Linked DNA regions of Ovis aries. The protein of the gene in region 1 purifies or fractionates together with the protein of each later gene. This does not show direct contact. Links are inferred from orthologs where the notes say so. Each region holds a gene or a part of one and is shown in the gene's direction. Other genes may lie near its edges.

What was found. Proteins that work in one complex are often made in the same cells at the same time.
Region 2: the proteins of OTUD6B (region 1) and OTUB1 fractionate together in Homo sapiens (co-fractionation; 4 studies listed by BioGRID and IntAct, with this or other methods). This does not show direct contact. The link is inferred for Ovis aries from reciprocal best matches to the Homo sapiens genes OTUD6B and OTUB1.

What each region holds. Positions count from the first base shown.
Region 1 is NC_056062.1:86,240,213-86,243,860, reverse strand, and holds part of OTUD6B (deubiquitinase OTUD6B), read left to right. Parts: intron 1-770; coding exon 771-1,083; intron 1,084-2,665; coding exon 2,666-2,727; intron 2,728-3,648.
Region 2 is NC_056074.1:38,767,238-38,770,985, forward strand, and holds the start of OTUB1 (ubiquitin thioesterase OTUB1), read left to right. Parts: upstream 1-1,200; 5' UTR 1,201-1,221; coding exon 1,222-1,279; intron 1,280-3,446; coding exon 3,447-3,508; intron 3,509-3,748. UniProt on the Homo sapiens protein: Hydrolase that can specifically remove 'Lys-48'-linked conjugated ubiquitin from proteins and plays an important regulatory role at the level of protein turnover by preventing degradation.

The sequences.
Region 1 (3,648 bases):
AATAGAAGGAAAGCAAGTTGAAGAATGTAATGGATGATAGTACTTTTGTTAAAATACTGTTTTCTGTAGATTTTCTATGAATACATCTGTATTTATTAAAATGCATAGGAAAAAAATCTAGAGGGATACATATCAGATCTCTAGAGCAGGCTGAGAGATTGGCAGTGGTCCTTAAGGGGGACTTTAGATTATCTGTAATAGTTTTTTTAATAGAGAAGAATGCTTTTATCTGTTACTTAAGCTAAATGTGTGTATGTGCACAATTTTTTTTTTTTTAATGCCGGATAAATAGAGCTGCTATACCATTCTAAAGACCTAAGCAAATTAATGCCTTGCTCATGAACTGGTGATCTAGCACATTAAGACCTCACTGGTAGAGTAATAAGTTATAAAGCTTGGACTTAAGTATGATAATGATATTACTTTAAGGCCTAGGACAGCTCAGTCTACCATAGTACTTTGAAATCAGTAAGTCAAGTTTTTAGAAACTTGGCGTATAGTTTCAGACAGACTTCACAGAAAAATTTGAGAGCCTTCTTTTGTTCCAAGACAGCTCCATGCTGGGTACACACAGATGAGAAATATTGTTTGCCTTTAGAAGAGTTCACAGTATAGAAAATTCTACAGGTGATGAGATCATCTATCTGATAGTGCTTGTGGGAGAAGGGAGAAAAATGTTTTTGAGAATCTTATATTTCTGTCCCCATGATAAATGTAAATGAGTCTTAATTATTAGGAATTAACTTTCCTACATTTTACCTTCTGCATAGGACAAAAAGGCTGCATTGGAAAAGGAGCGGGAAGAAAGGATAGCCGAAGCTGAAATTGAAAACTTAACTGGAGCTAGACATGTAGAAAGTGAAAAACTTGCTCAAATATTGGCAGCTAGACAATTGGAAATTAAACAGATTCCATCTGATGGGCACTGTATGTATAGAGCCATTGAAGATCAGCTGCAAGAGCAGAACGGCGTTCTGACTGTGGCTGCCTTAAGGTGTCAGACTGCTAACTATATGCAGAGTCATGTGGAAGACTTTCTGCCATTTTTAACAAATCCTAATACAGGAGAAATGTATACTCCAGGTAATTTATTTTTCTCTGCTACGTCTTGTTGCTGTTGTAGCTGTGATGGTTATTAAGTAAAGTGGTTTCTGGAACTGAGAATGAAAAAAAAAAAAAGAAAGCCTGAATAGTCCTATGGGGGGAAAACATCTCAACATTTAGGCAAAATTATTTTCTATGACTTTGGTAGATGATAGCACATTTTTGTTTATCAAGATCTTTTTAAGTACTTAACTATTTTGTAGTTGAAAATATTAATCTTAAGATAAAAATAGGAATAGGGTTTATATTACTAGTTTTAAAAGTGTGTAAATAAGTTCATATTTCACAAAGTTAAGCTTTGCCTAGTCTCTGCAAGTATTGAATCTGAAGACGATCAGTAGAGAATGGTTAGGAAAACTAATTCTTCCTTTTATCCTGTACTTTGGAAGATTTAATTTTATTCTTAATAAGTCATAATATTCAGGCAGAATATGACTGCAAAACCTGCCTTATTAGTCTGTATAATATCTTTGATAGTTGAGAAGGTTAAAAAAAAATATGTACAACTAGCAAATAAAGGAGGAAACGAGTAAAAACTTGAAAAAGTTTCTGAAAGCAAAAGGGGAGTAAGGGAGAAAGTTAGTCTTTGAGATAAGACAGCAGACGTGGCAGTATCCCCTGAGAGTAAGTCATATGGTCAGGGTGGATTGAAGAGGGGAAGGCTAGGGTTGGCTTTTGTTTAATGAAGTCCCCAGCTGTGCTAGTTGTAGCGCATGGGAGAGGAGGTGATACCTCAGCTTGGTGAATCAAAGAAAAAGACAAAAGCTGTAATCCCCAGTCCTTCAGTCAGTGTTTATTGAGGGCCGCAGCATGCTGATGCACTGTTCTCATCACTGGGGATGTGAGACAGTGAATAAGACGGGCATATGGAACGTGTTTTCTCCTAGATGCCCATAATTTTTTTCCTCTTCCTCTAAACACCAACGGTGTTAGTGTTTTTTCCTGACTTTAACTTTCTGTATAACAGCAGTGTGTATGCTTAAGATATGCCTAACTCTGAAGTTAGGTCTTTTACCTCCTCTTAAGACTGATACAGGAAGACTGTTTTTTGGCTAGAACAATAAAGTAAACATTTCCAAAATATGTAGGCACTGTTTGATGTCACTGTCATCAAATGGTCACTGGGAAAGGAGTTTCAACTCATTTGTACTTTGATTTTCTTCTCACATTTCTTATAGGGTTTTATAGTGAAGCCTGTTTTACAGAGGATGCATCTTTTAATCTTGTAGCATATTCTTTCAGATGCAGATTTGGATTTTGCAATGTGAATGTGGTGGCAATTTTGGGGTCAGTGCTTGGATCAAGAGAGAGGTAGGCTTATAATTTAGTTGAGATTGCTAGACTTCAGGTTGAGAGAGAGAAACAGATGAATTGCTTTGCTCTTGGATGGAAAGATGGAGTGAGTTAAGTTTGGATTTGGGAAATGGATTAAATTCTGGAGGATATATGTGGAGAAAGAGGAAGTTCGTAACTTGGGCAGTTTCATCAGGCATTGTGGGAATTATAAAAGGGATCTAATATGAATTCTAAAAAGTGCTATATTCTGATCTGTTTCCTACAGAAGAGTTTGGAAAGTATTGTGATGATATTGTAAACACAGCAGCATGGGGGGGTCAACTTGAGGTAAGTTTGTTATTCATCATGAAATTGTTAAATTATTTTTAAATCCCTTCTGTAGTTTCCAGACATATTTTTCAGGTGACCCAAATTTTTCTTTGACAATTCCTTTTCTTTATATATTTGCTATTTCTCTCCCGATAAAACACTGATAAAAGGAGTTAATATTCTTAGGCCTTTAATTTAATTATGTACCTTTGGGAACTGAAGCACTGTTTAATTTTAAATAGCCCAGTGTTTGATCTGTGAGTTGGTGAAGCTAGTGTTGTCTGCATATTTCCATTTGTGATCTTGCTACAGGCAATATATTTGAGTTTATGGACTTATGAAAGTGAAGATTTTCTCAAATACAGTAAAATTTTACCCAAGTGGCTCAACTGATGAAAATCACATTGGAAAATGTCAGAAATAGAAAACAATATTTTAATGTGAGATTACAGGTCAAATCCTACCATAACACATCTATTACAATTGTGTCTTGAGTTCCTAGTTGATACTGACTGATTTGAAAGCAGTATTTAATGCATTAAAATTTACTTGCAAGAAAATATGTTTAGTCATTTGTAGGGAGTTAATCATGATTTTTTTTAAAGCTCTAATTATTTATTTTACTGTTATCTTTGTTTCATTAAAGGAAAATAAAACCCCCGAGTGTGCAGATGGTGATAAGGTAGCTTGGGGTGTTAGAAGTCAGGGAGTAACAGGGAAAGTCTGGGGGCTGGGTGCTGGTTCCTTCTACTTCTCAGTTTTCTGACTTTGGGGGAGTCAGCCAACCTCTTGAGCTCCAGTTTCCTGATTATTGAATGAGGATAATAAAACCCCATGTGTACATGATAGTCCATTTGTATATACTAAACAAAGCAAAGGCTATATGCATTGAAGCTTGAAGCTAAATGCTACGTGGATGAATCTAGCAGTATTATTAAT
Region 2 (3,748 bases), on another chromosome or scaffold:
TGGTGACCTAGGAAATAGTAATTTGCCATGTTGCTGGGGCAAAGACTTGGCATGTGTAGCGTTGCTGTGAGAGCGCCACTGTGGGCAGTGTGGTGAGCCCAGGCACCAACCGTCCCTACTCCAGAACTGGATGTAGCTCATGAAGATATTCATCCTATTCTGCACCTGTATTATCATGAACGGAGGGATCTGATTGGGGCTCAGACACGGCCTCCTCAAGTGCTAAGAGACCACTGTCATATCATGGAAAAGGCCCTCCATAGAGAAAGGCAAAGGAACAGTACCCCTGAAGGTGACTTCTCTAAATAACTGCATCTTCAGCATCCAAGGCCTTGACACTTTTTAAGTTTTATTTTTAGATAATTCACAGGTGATTTTAACAGAGTACACAGAAAGATCCTGGGTATCCTTTACCCACTTTCCCCCACTGGTAACATCTTGCGTTTGAAGCTACAGTACAGCATATTCCAGGATCTCCATATATATTCAAGATAAAGAGCACTTCTGTCTCCACAAGGATACTTCTGTTTCATTTTTATAACCACATCCACTTCCCTCCTTACTCCGACTCAACCCTTGGGAACCACGAATCTGTTTTTCATTGTTGTCAACTTCTATCTTAAAAAAAAAAAAAATCCTGATTTTCTCATAACCACAAGGGCAGGTAGTCCAAAGTAAGGTCGACCCCGAGGGACGTGGTCTCTCGGTCAGAAGCAGGACACCAAAGCCCGCTCGGAACCGAGACTCGGTGGAGGGGGGCGGTGAATTCCCAGAGCTCGGATATTAGCAGAATTCCCGGTCTCCTCGGCCAAGTGATCCTCATTGCATTCGCCTGTCTTGAGTTCTGGAGCCCGCAGCGGGAATTGCCTTCCGTGATTTGAATTTCATTTTCCTGCTTATCTCAATAATACAATCCGCGTTTCAAACTCTAGTGAAAAGAAAACTCAAGTGGCCCCAGGAAGCTCTTATCACCACCTGGCACATTGGGAGCCTGGAAAGATGGAACCGAGCAAGTGTGCGGGAGGAGGGCGGGCGGGGATTGCCCTCACTTCCCCGGCTTCCGCCGCCGCCGAACGAGACTGCGAGCCCCTCGGGTGACTACGCCCGAGGGGATCCCGTTGCTAGGGGCGTTACCAAGGAGGGGCCTCGAGGAGGGGCTGTCTTCCGGGGGGAGGCCGACTAGTAACCCGGAAGCGGTCGGCAGTGCGGCGCTGTTTAAAGATGGCGGCGGAGGAACCTCAGCAGCAGAAGCAGGAGCCGCTTGGCAGCGACTCCGAAGGTACCGACCAGGGGAGAGCCGCCCGGCCTGGGCTAGCGGGGGCGATGCCGGATGGCCGGTTCCCGAGGAAACCAGGGCTGGGGCGGCTGGCGGCGAAGCGAGCGGAGGGCCCCTTCCCCCGCGTCCGCCGCCTCCCCTCCCCCTCACAATGGAAGGAGCCGCCGCCGCGACCCCTGGCCGGCCGGGCGGCGGGAGAGAAAGCGGGCCGGCCTCCGGCCCGCGACTCTTCCCTGTCGCGCGCTCCTGGGGCGGGGCCTAGGCCGCTCCGCCCCTCCACCCCCCGCCCAGCCCCCTCCCCGCTGGGCGTCCGGCTCCCGGGTCCCGGCTCTCCCGCCCCGGACCTGGCAGTCAGGCCCGGGCCTAGTCCGGCCCCGTCTAGTCCGCCTCCTCCAGAGCGGCCCGAGCCCGGGAGGGCGTCGAATTACGCCGGGCTGCGGAGCACAAAGGACTGGGCGGGCCGCTGGGGATGCTGCGGGCCGCCCGGGGTTGTGAGCGGCCGTAGGTGTGTGCCCAGGAGGGCAGCGCCCTTCGTTTCCGGTAGAGTCCCCTCTCCTAGCCTCGCAGCCCCTTGCTTCCTGTCTCGGCATAGTTTCCTTAGACCCCTGAAGAGTTGGACCTCTCAAAACGGTCCCACCCTCTTCTTTTCACCCCTGAGTTAGACACTGGGGACTGAGGAGGTCACTAGGGTTGGGAGGGATGGCCCAGTTGCAGTGCAGTGTCGGGGGTGGGTGGAAGCCCAGCTGAGGCCCCGGCCTGCTCAAGATCAAAAGGATTGGCCTTAAAAGTCATTTAGCACACAGCTCCCTCTCTAACCGCACACTGAAAAACAGCTTTTGGGGACCTAGACCCTCCCCCCAATCCCCGAAGGGACTGGTTTAGGATCGTGTAAGTTAAGAAAGAACCAGAGCCAGGATTCAGGTCTCCTGGCTCCTCACCAGTGGCTGCTTGGCATGGGGCCCACAGGGTGGACCCGCCCAACTCAGTGATGAGTATTGAACTACACCTCTTAAGGTACCATCTCCTCAGGGCATCACAGTGAAGGGAGGAAGGTGGTGCTATCTGTCTCTATTCACAGCTGATGATGAGCCTCTGCAGTGAGGTGCCAGGGGAGTTATTGTGGCAAAGAGCCCAGGCTTTGCAATTAGACAAACCTGGGATTGACCACAGGTCTTCCTCGTCGCGACTTCGGGCAGGTGATTTCACCTGTCTGCGTTTTTGTTCTTTGTAAAATGGGCACCACTACGAATACCCAGGATGGCAGGTGGAGGAATGGTGTGACTGAGGAAAGCAAAGCGCTCATCTAGCCGAAGATGGTCTGCTTCCTCATCTGTCTTTCCTCAATAGACCTGGCTCAGGGGCCTTCCGGGCTGCTCGGAAGTGATGTTAGAGAGCAGGGGGAGAGGGCTTGTTCGAGCTGGAAGAGTGTACCCTGGGGGGCGATCACCTTGGCCTGCTTACTTTATTTTCCACCATTTATTTATACTTATTTGGCTGTGCCAGGTCTCAGTTATGGCATGTGGGATCTAGTTCCCAGACCAAGGATCAAACTCAGTGTAAGATCGGACCCCGGGGGGCCATGATGGGCCGCCCCTTCCCTCCCCCGTCGGCGGGGGAAGTCCCTAAGGAAGGGGCCTCCCAGATCCCGGGGACCAGTGACAGCACAGTTTGCCAGCTAAAGCTGCCCCACCTCCGCCACGTAGAAGGACGTATCAGCCCGTGACGCCTCGGCCCGGCAACCTATCCAAACCCCCATCCACTAACCTGGCCATCCCTCGCAGCGTGCATATATAAACAAACTTCTAACACGTTCTGGGCGGGTCCGGGAACCCCGCCCGGGAGCGCTTCGCCATTAAAGCCTGTTAGACACTCTTTTGGTGTCCTGGTCGTCTTTTACCTAACACCCAGGCCCCCTTGCATTGGGAGCTCGGAGCCTTAGCCACTGGACCTCCAGGGAAGTCCCTGGCCTCCTCCCTTTAAAGATGAGATAACTCATGCCCAGGAAATGGAAGGACTTTGCCAAGATCCCACAGTTGGGGTGGAGCAGGGCATGATGCATGCTTCCAGATTGCACGTCTGCTCTCCTGGCCCGTTCTTGTCCTCGGCCCAGCTTCCTGGAGTGGGGAGAGCCAGGGCCCACTGTAATACTTGGCCTTCTTCCTTTTTCCAGGTGTTAACTGTCTTGCTTATGATGAAGCCATCATGGCTCAGCAGGACCGAATTCAGCAAGAGGTGAGTGGCTGTGGCCAGTGGCCTTACTTTGGGGATACATTGGTTGGACTGAGGCCTACCGTTTGTCTTTACTGTGGAAGCTCCCTCCTCCCCAGGCTGAGCTGATACTAGATGCCTTTATGGGGAGAATGTGAGGTCCATGTGCCGCTGGGTGACTGGCCCAGCCACTCTCAGCTAGATGTTCGGGCTGACAGGTGTGGGTCACTCCATTTGCCTGTCAGAGTGTAATGGATTCCCCAT